Caenorhabditis elegans: one gene and its partner. The protein of the gene in region 2 interacts with the protein of the main gene of each other region in a pairwise test. Each region holds a gene or a part of one and is shown on either strand. Other genes may lie near its edges.

Region 1 (4,470 bases), on a different chromosome or scaffold from region 2:
GTATGTGCAAAAGTCGGAACTCTTCCAGGTTTGTCCTTTCACTAAACACATTATGACATCAATTGTTTTCAGACTGTTGATCTCTACGAAGGACAGGACCCAAATGCTGTCCTCATCTGTCTCGCTTCTTTGGCACGAAAGTCTGAGAAGAACTTCGGTCGATCTGGTCTCGGACCGAAGGAAGCTCAAGGAGATCGTCGTGAATGGACCGATGAGCAATTGAAAGCTGGACATAACGTGATTGGTCTTCAAATGGGCAGCAACAAAGGGGCAACTGCTTCAGGACTTAACATGGGAAACACCCGCCACATGTAATTTCCAACGTATTCCCTACATTCTCAACCGGTTCTGGTAATCATAACGTGAAATTTTCCTATTCATTTTTTTATATGTCCAAATTATCAAGTGTACTGTAATCGATCTGGAAGCCACGCACTTCTAGAAAATTCAATTCGCTTCTCCAAATTTCATCGGTTCCAACATACAACTCATAATGATTTCCATGTTTTTGTGTAGAATTTTTGTCCAAATTATTTATTGTATTGTAATAAAGCTTGTAAGTAGGCAAATAAGCATTTTACAATATGAGACTAGACGATTTGCAAATGACTAGAAGAGCTTGAGGTCTGGTTGAACATGGATGTCATTTGCACGTTTCCAAATGACGATTTAAATAAGCTCGCAGGGCAAATCGACGACCACATTTATCACATTCGAATCGTTTGTCACCTGGAACAACAAATATTGAAGAACTGTTAGGTGTGAAAATATATGCGTAAATACCTGTATGAGTTAGCATGTGCGCTCGTAAGTTGCTCCGATCAGCAAATGATTTTCCACAATGAGCACAAGAGAAAGGCCGAAGACCTGTGTGAGAACGAAGATGTCCCTGGAGCAGCCAAAGTCTCGAAAATCGTTTCCCGCAAACATTACATTCATGAGAAGCGTTGTGTGTTAAAATGTGCATGCTGAAATTCAGTTTAACTTGTAAAACTAGGAGAAAAAGTTAACGTCCAATCCTAAGTCTCTACTAGATTGTGAACACTTAGCCCCAGCTTTCTGGTTGCTAGTTTCACTACTAATTCCATCGAATTCTTATTATTACCATGTATTATATAATTTCTATTATCCGCCTAACTACAATAGTGTACAATGTGTGTTGACGCAAAGAAATACAGGTACAGGTGGTGATTGCGCAATCGGAAGATTGTCTTCTGATGAGAATAAGGCAGGTGCGAATTGTTGGTGATTAAATAATACGAAGTGAAAGCTTGAGGAGATTAACCTTACAAACGTGGTTTCAATTACATTCTGGATATTATTTGGAAGTAATGATTCTCTATTCTTTGAACTGAGTTAGCTCGATATTTCAAATAAACTCTGGTGTGAAAACGTATTACCTATACGCGAAATATTGCAATTTTGCGCCCAAAGTACTGTACCTGGTCTTTACACGACAATTTTTTGAGAGTACTGTATTTTTCAAACTCTCTCGTTGATGCTCTTTTAAAGGGACACCTTTTTGCATTTAACCAAATTTTTTCGTGTCGAGACCGGGTACCGTATTTTTCAAAAATGACAATATTTTGCGCCTGCGTAATAACCAGATTTAGAATTTTTTCTAAGAAATTCAAAAACTTCACTTCTGAAAGTTATTGACTCGAATTCCTCAGTTTTACACGTTTCTCATTATAAAATACAATAATACTTTTTGAAAAGTAAAGCTCTTACCTTAGTGCAGGCATACTGACGTAGACTCGATCACAATGAGGGCATTGTTTGGCATGTGGACTATCCAAAGCTCTGTGCGTCTGAAATTGTTACTTTCAAAACAAAAGAATTCTCAATCCAGGAACACGAAGGAAGCAATATGTTATGTCATAGCTGTCAGAAAAACACTGTTTTACCTACCTGCTTGTGTCGACTGAGATTGGAAGTTGTTGCGTAGCTTTTCCCACATTTGTCACATACACATCTGTTATGAGAGGATGGTCTGAAAAAAAGTTATACGGGAGTCTTCTTCCGTTTCAATTACTTCACTAACCCTTTTTTATTCAAGCTTCTTCTATCCAAATTTTGAAGTGAATCCAATGTATATCCAGTGGTAGAACATGTTGGAGACGGAGATGAAGATACATCTTCATCGTTTTCCAATTCTAGTTTTGGAACTTTTTGAGAGTTTAGAATATTGTCTATTGAGAATACAGAGGTATTTTGTACAGATGATGGAGATTTCTTCAGATTTTCAGAGGACGTTGACGAACTAGAAGAGGACGAAGTAGATGCAGCTGAAGACTTTTGCATTTGTAGGTGTAGACTCATTAGATGCCATAGTTGGGCTTGAAAATCTGAAAGAAAATTTGGACTAAAAGGTTAAATAAGTATCACCACCGATTGCTCAACATTTGCTCAACTTTGACTGTTTTTATCTCGGTTGTCTCTGGTTTTTTTTAAAACATTGTGGAACAGTAAATATAGGTGTCAGATACATTATTCTTTATATTTTTGTTATTGAACAATTTTTGATAGATCCAAAATAAGAGCTGCCACTTTGGAGCAATGGGGGTGCAAGACTAATAGGAAAAATACAATATTTTGACACAATCTCCAAAACCAAAAAATATTAACGAAATATCAAGAACCTATTAAACTCAATAACTCACCACAATTGCCAATTATGGGGAAATCTACTGGAGGAGCAACAGTTGGTGTTAAACTAATATTCGGGGTAGTTATCATATTCTATCAGAAATGAATCAAGCTGTGAACTACACACAAAATCTGTTGAGCTTAACAAGACTGGGCGTGGTCTTAATGAGACGATCTGATTGGTCGGAGCTCACGAAGAGGCGGAACCACAAGAATTGCTCCAACAAGCTGGTAGACATGCGCAGTAGGTGGTCCCAAGAGGGACACAGGTTATTTTAGAAATATAATGGCTGAGGCGGTTATGGTTGAGTTTACAACACGTTTTGATATTTAGTCAATGAAAAATTGTAAAATTAGAGGATTTAAAAACATGGATTTTTGTTTAGAAACATAACAATTATTACTTTTTATACATAACTTTTTATTAAACAATTATTTCAAGTAGGAAATTTTTTGAAATTATGAAAAACTGTAGATGTAGATGCTTCTCTCGAAATTGAGTACTGTAGCTCAACTGTGGAAAACCATCAACACAGAAACCTGTGGCTATATCTCAAAAATTGAGATTCAAAAAGTTTCAAATTTTGTTCATCTGTCAATAAGCCATCTACAGTACTCTCACCGTTTAAGCTCGCTCAATCATGCAGGCAGATGGGACAGGTGACACAGTTCATGACCTGTTACATCATACCTAATTTCAACGCCGTCTGTCTATTTTCTAGTGACTAAATAGTAGGTTTATTTGTGCTCAATGCTCCAAATATATCAATTTGAACATTTGTGAATATAAGCGGATAATCTCTGGATTTTTCAATTAAAAAGTGATTGGAAATACTTTGGACCTCGGATACATGAAACAAAACACAAACTACACAAATAATGAAATGATTTTTTGATCAGTTGGAACTGAATAAATTGAAAAATAAGACCTTAGAAATAAAAATTAGAATATTTGACAGCATCTTGCATGAAGTTTAAAGTGACCAAAGTTTACATTAAAAAATGTTTAATTGAGATTTTTCCAACCTGTTTTTTTAGATCTAAAATACAGTTCTAGAACAAAAAATATCCCGACCAAATTTCCTTAATTTTTATCCTCTTCAGAGTTACACTATTTTTAATAATTATTATTAAAAAGGCTGAGAGGGACATTCATATATGATTATAATGCTTTTACCGTTTTCCACAACACTGCAAATTATTTGAAGGTTTGCACTGCAATTTTTAATGGAATTCATAATCTGAATCGTCTCAAAGTTACATCATATTATTCACAAACATATGTCCACATTATCTCACTAAAGACTGTAAAATGTAGTAGTCATATATGTACCAAGTGTCCATATCCCTCAAAACAGGTGTTTTCAATCTCAGTACCCATTACAGTCTATCAAGTGCAATTTATAGGAAGACACGTGTCACTTCAGACACCTCTCGACCTTTTTGTTGTACAACATGCCAACAATTGTTCAATTGAGATGCTTTTTTTGGTTTTTGAAATTTGGAACGTTGAACTGAAGAGCTAAGACTCTGCAAATAAAGAATCCAAATTTTTATCTAATTTTCTAAATGTTCAAAAAAATCATGCTTGTTGTTAAGAGTTTGCTGATTGATGTTTAAAAATAAATATATTTAGGACTCCAACAGGATGGCCGAGAAGTTTGTCACAAAGGCCCTTCACTTTGAAAAATATTACTAACATACCCTTAGAAAATTTTGAGATCATCTGTAAAAACCAACGATGGATTCATTTTACGAACATAAAAAGTAGTGACAAAGAAGAGATATATTTTTTTTATTTAAAAATACCTCACTGCTGCT
Region 2 (6,056 bases):
TGAACAATAAAAATTATTATTTTTATATTGAAAAATGCTTTACACGTACTTTACTGATGCAAACCATCACAGCAGGAGTTGTTTGAAATGTGATAGTGGTTTTTCCTTGAGCAATAAATTTGTCGAGAATAATTGGCGGCTTGTTGAGCTCGAATTTATTTCCAGTTTTGTCACCGGCCACGGCCACTGTTATCTGATATTGTGGAGGGGTCTGGAAATATTTTTTTGTTTTGTTACATATTAACTTATGAAAATTTAAATTACCTGTCGAAGTTTTTGCAGAATAACAAATCCTTTTTGCGATTTCGTGGGTTTTGGATTAACTCCGGCATTTGCTTTATAACGTGCAAAAACCACTTCACATGGTAATCGCATTTTTTATTGAAATCTGGAATAAGCAACTATTGGTAGTTTCTTTGTATTTGAAAAGCAAGTCTCTGAAAATCAAAATAAGTTTCTGGAAAATCAAGTTGAACCCGATAAAAGAGCACTGGGGAGAGTTACATTTTAAAGTTTTTACATTTATTCCCAAGAAGAATAATTAACGAAAAAATAAATAATAATTACCATTTGCTTACCAACTAATCGGACTTCAATAAAATTAATAGAAAATTGTCACTTATAAATATCACAAATGAACACAGGAAGTGATTGGGGGATGAAAACGATAATTTAAATAAGTCAGCGGGAGAGTCGAAATTTACAAAAAAAACGGGGACTGGAAACAATAAAGAATAATAATTAGCTAAAAGTTGTACCCACATTATAAGCTAAAAGAAAGTTTACAGTAAAGTCATTATGCACATTTTTATTCAGAGTTCTTGAAGATCTCCAATGCATTGTGTACAGTGGAGTTGTCCAGCGGGTAGAATTTGGGGTCTCTGTAAAGATATATTTGGGAACGATGAATCAAAGAATATTCTACTTACACTGATATCAGAAATAATTTCCAAAATTCGTCTAACAGATGCATCTTGGGTTTGCCCGAAAGTATCACTATTATCTTTGTCAGCAGAACAATCCGATAATCGTGGACTATTTTGAGCTTCCAACACAGTTGGTGGTGGAGTACTTGGAATCTTCTCATCATCACTATTACCATGTACTTTTTCACGCTCTGGAACTTCTTCCAATTTGGCGTCCACCAAAACATCTTCGTCTCCGCTCATTTCATCAACTGTCGAATGGCTATAGCTTCGGGAAACTCGGCGAGCTGCTTTTCGGGAGATTGAGCTTGTCTGGTATTCCTAAAAATTAGCTTGTAGGTATTACAGTTTCATAGATTAATTACCTTTAATACTCCACCTTTGTTAAGTACAGTCATTAACACATTTTGCAGTTCTTGGCATCGTGCAACAGTTTTCGTTCTGTCCTCTTCCATAGCCTTCAATTGTTCATCTTTTACACGAAGCCTTTCACGAACCAATTTTCTCTGATGCTGATAGAGAACAACGTGATCAGCAATTGTGTCATTTTCGAGTTCTAGCTGCTGGTTGATGTGCTCTAATCGATCAATTGTCTCAACGAGTTCAGCATTCTGAAGCATTGCTCGAGCGAATCGTTTCTCTAATTCTTTTCGTGCCCATAGATCTTCATGAAGCTCTCTAGAAGACTGCTGATTTTCAGCTTCTTCTGGAACCTTGGTTTCTTTCAACTCCAGCTGTTCCTGTTTGCTTTCGAGATCTTTCCGTTCTTCCTCTGCTCTTCTATCAGCTCGTTCATCTTCCAATTGTTGACGGCAATTATTAAAAGCTTCTCTGAGTGCTTCATTTTCGGCATGAAGATCCTGAACTCTGCCAACTGCTTGAGTGAGCTCAACGTGAATCGAATTCTGATTCTCATCTTCTGCATTTTGCCTCATTATTTCGTCCATTTGTTCATTATGAGTGTTACTTCGTCTCAAATCAGCACGGACCAGTTGAAGTTCATGAGTTTTCAGCTCTAAATCGGATCTGATTTCTGCATTTTCTCTTTGAAGCGTTGAGATATTTTCTTTCAATTCTTCATTGAGTTTCACGATTTCTTGAGATTCTTCACGTTGTTCTTGACTTGCAGCAGATTCTTGTGATGCTTCGAGATGAGGTTGTCGAGCGATTACTTCTGACAGATTACCAACAAGACCCGCGGTTTCTAAATTCAACTGCTTTGTCAATTCCCGTACTTGATGCTCAGCAGATTGTTTTGCAAGCTCGACATCTGCTTTTTCTTTCGTAAGAGTAACAAATCGGTCTTCCGTTTCCAAGAGACGTTCTTTAAGCTCTTTGTTTTGTGCCACTGCGCGGGATACGGTCGCTTTTTCGTTCTGTAAATTCGAAAATTTGAAAAATCAGGGAAAAATATTGAAAATTGTAAATCTACCTGTAGTTGCTCTGAAAGAGACAACAAATCAGCTCCGTTTGCAGTTGACTCTAACGTTCGTTCTTCCAAAAGTCGATATTTCATTTCAAGTTCTGCCAATGACTGTTCTCTTTCGAAAATAACTTTGTCTTTTTCTAGAATTTCTTCTTCTCTGCGTTTCTGATCATCCTCACTTCTTCGTTCCCACTTCCCTCTTTCAACGAAACACGCTTCACGAATCCGTCTTGCTACATCTTCTTCTGTGATAGTTGGAATTTCATCATGCCTCTCAGAAACATCCATATTCATTTGAAGCTTCTGCAGTTCAGATTGAGCAATTTCGAGTTGATTTTCGAGATGTTCAACTTGATCGTTTGAAGAAAATTTTTGATTATGCAAATGCTCGATTTCTAAAGCCATCTCTGCTTGCTTTTGTTGAAGTGCATACTCTCGATCAGCATAGTGAGCTTTTAATGTCGCAGATTCGACGAGAAGACGTGATTTTTCAGCTTTAACGTTCTCCAGCTCACGTTGCAAGTTTTCATAATTCGTATTCTCATTCGGAATCCCTCCCGGCGGTCCTGTGGCTCCAAGTTGTTTCAAATAAAGATCTTTCATTTGAATGTCTTTCATGAGCTGACTGATGCGATTTTCTTGAGCCGCCGTTTCTTTTATCATACTTTTCACACGTGCTTGTGCTTCACTTCTCTCGTGTTGAACATTTAGCAGGTTAGCTTGCATTGATGCAACTTCTCGTCGAGCTCCTTCTAGCTCTTGATGACGTGCAGTTAATAGGGAATCTTTTTGTGCAATTGCTTCATTGAGTTTTCGAATTTCGTTTGACGAAAGTCCAGATGATGTTGAATTGCTCATTTGGTTGGCAATGTTCTCTGCAGCAGCCAGCTTGTGTCGAAGTTTTTCGATTTGCTTGTTTGCCTGACGAAGATCACTTTGAGACGAAACTTTCTCTTCAACCATTGCAGACAATGCCTGAATACTCCATCATTAAATTAAAATAAATAAAACGAGTAATCCTTACATTTTGGAGTTGGACAATTTGATTTTCTGTATCCACATGTATTCCATTTGCATTGACTTGTGAATAAGCGGAATGAAGTTGGGAGTAATGGGCACACTAAAATGATTTTTTTTTTAATAAAATCATTATTCATATAATTAACGAATTAGTTTTTGTATTTGTCAATTTCTCATTATCCTTACCAATTCGTCATGCTGGGTCTTCAATTGTGTATATGCCTGATACCATTCGTTTCCGTTCGGTTGAAATGGTGAAGCCTGAAGAAAACATTTACTCATTTAACGATGTTATCGATTTTCTCACATCCAATCCATTTCTTGCATTCAAACTTTGTGCAGAAGAAGATGAGTGTGGAATTTGAAGCGCTGTCGAATCTTCACTGACAACGCTGCTCCGTCCATTTAAACCTGCTCCAGCACCCGGCTCTGATGAAATGATACTTGATGCAGGAGAATTACGTCCATCGAGTCTTTGACGTGCTTCAAAGTCTTTCAGCTGTAAAATTTACTCTATAAACTTTGTTTTAATAAAGTTTCCTCACGATTCTCACCTTTTTCCTGGCCGCTGCCAGCATTTCAGCTTTGGCAGGTGCAGCGGCATCGACCATATCACTGATTAATCCAGCTTTACGCCGAAAAACAGTAAAATCTATCGATTTTAAAAGCTGAAAATGAAAAAAGACGTGGAAATTAGTGGTTGGACGCAAACACCGCAATTGACGACATAGCGCAGACAACAAAGCGAGTTCGCAATGAAAGCAGCAGAAATTCACACAAAAAAGAAAAAATAATAGGTTTATGTACAAATAACTAACGAAACTTTGGAAATAAATGCTAAAAAACAACCGAGCAAATTAGAAAACTGGAGGCTTGTGATCAGATGAGACAGGCGAATCGGTTTGCCCCTTGGTGAGCCAGGCAAGAGGTTCTCGTGTGAACGTGCGGTATGCTTCTAGAATTAAGTAGTTGAAGATAACATTTTAATTGAGAATATCAACTCACTAGCCCACTTTGAATCAGGATTGATCTCATCTTGGAAGTAGGCATAAGAAAATATCAGCATGCCTACTCCAAATGCGATTAGGGAGTTCTGGAAAATACTTAATTCGTTTTTAAAATTGATTATCAAAATAGACCTCTCTAAAAGAAAGCTTCTTTCCTCCTTTAGGTAACTGATTTTCCGTGATTTCCTTCCATTCGGCCTGCCCGTCTTTTCTTCTGATTAAAACACGCAAAATCCGAGTCAATCTCATCTGGAACAAAATCTGTTTTATTTTCTGCCTTTTTATTTGTTTTAAAAATTGGAAACGAAAAGGACAAAGCGAGAAGTCAAAGTCTTCCAGTAATTTGATATTTTAGAAGGAATTGAATTGGTCATGGAATTCCGGAAGGGGACAAAATATTTTTAAACGGACATAGGAAATGGGGAATTTTATGAAGCAAAATATATGTTATATAATCGAATGTATTAAATTTGAAAAAAATGTGAAGAAAATTAATAAAAAAATACTAGGAAAAAAAATATCTTCAAAAATTTTTGATGAAAACGCGCCCCATTGGCACTTACTAGAGACACAATACGCAGGAAAACGAAATTTATGAGTACATAGAAGTGAATATTGGAAAATGTTCTTCAAAACTTTTCATGACAGTGTTAAACTGAAAATTAAAAAGAATGGTGATCATAGTAGCAACGAATTCATATGAGATATATGTAAAATATTTAAAAATGAAGGATAAATGAGGAATATATAATTCCCGAGTGTGGAGGGGTACTGTAGGAGAACATAAACAAGCCTATTATCTCTGTATACTGTAAAGCATTAGAATACACAAGCAAATTTGAAGATTATATTTTGGTTATTCGCTCAGTTTTTAAAAATATTTGGAAAAACACTGATACGAGTTTCCGAAATTTTTGAAGACCAATTGTTCAGTACCTAGAAACCTTTCGGAAAAATAATCAATGTCATTACTGTAGTTCTCTGAAAAAATGTGTTATCTGAAACTGTCACTTGCATATAAAATACGACCTTCCTCCAAATCACGCTCTGAGCACAATCGATCTTTCTACTCCAGCTGTGTACATGGACGGACATAAAGGACAGCCGTCAGTGTCACTTCCGCGCCACTTTTTTCAAATGTTTTATGCAAGTTTTTGGTTTAGTTTTGTTTCGAATTTATTCCCAATTGAATTGAATTCGTGACTGCAGAAGAAAATCGAATCGAATCTCCTTTTTAGCGACTCGGATATACCCTGAATTTTTTTTGGAGTACTGTACTATAAACTTTCTCTCCACTTCAGCAATATTTATAATATCCTATAGGAGAACGGCTACTTTCTCGGAACAAAAATATTTCTACAAAACTATTTTTTAATTTTTGCGCAAATGAATTAAGAATTCTCCTTTGGCGGCTGCGGTTATATATTAATTCCAAACTTGTATAGAAAACACACGAAGTGAGGTAAAACCTATTATTATTCAGTTTTTCACTCAAAAATACAGTCCTTGATCTTGCTACGACCGAAATATGTCCGTCGAGTACACGGTAAAGTAGTTTGCGCCTCTAAGGAGTACAGTAACCAACTATGGGTTACTGTAAGACTTATAGGCGCATACATTTTTAACAGATTCAATTTGAGAACATTTAAATAGTTCGTGGCGAGGCCAAATATCGTA

Evidence for each region. The genes of interacting proteins can lie anywhere in the genome.
Region 1: the proteins of golg-2 (region 2) and ces-1 interact in a two-hybrid assay, tested with the Caenorhabditis elegans proteins (one large-scale study listed by BioGRID).

What each region holds. Positions count from the first base shown.
Region 1 is NC_003279.8:8,632,218-8,636,687, reverse strand, and holds ces-1 (C2H2-type domain-containing protein), read right to left. Parts: upstream 2,792-4,470; 5' UTR 2,740-2,791; coding exon 2,664-2,739; intron 2,349-2,663; coding exon 2,045-2,348; intron 1,994-2,044; coding exon 1,912-1,993; intron 1,812-1,911; coding exon 1,732-1,811; intron 969-1,731; coding exon 784-968; intron 730-783; coding exon 644-729; 3' UTR 519-643; downstream 1-518. Other genes in the region: cpn-1 (Calponin-homology (CH) domain-containing protein), read left to right, coding at 1-28, 73-315.
Region 2 is NC_003280.10:5,036,052-5,042,107, forward strand, and holds golg-2 (Golgin subfamily A conserved domain-containing protein), read right to left. Parts: upstream 4,041-6,056; 5' UTR 3,984-4,040; coding exon 3,927-3,983; intron 3,872-3,926; coding exon 3,680-3,871; intron 3,634-3,679; coding exon 3,559-3,633; intron 3,473-3,558; coding exon 3,377-3,472; intron 3,328-3,376; coding exon 2,359-3,327; intron 2,303-2,358; coding exon 1,292-2,302; intron 1,248-1,291; coding exon 930-1,247; intron 882-929; coding exon 813-881; 3' UTR 507-812; downstream 1-506. Other genes in the region: lrr-1 (PIF1/LRR1 pleckstrin homology domain-containing protein), read right to left, coding at 50-211, 265-375; F33G12.7 (uncharacterized protein), read right to left, coding at 4,230-4,327, 4,378-4,465, 4,512-4,628.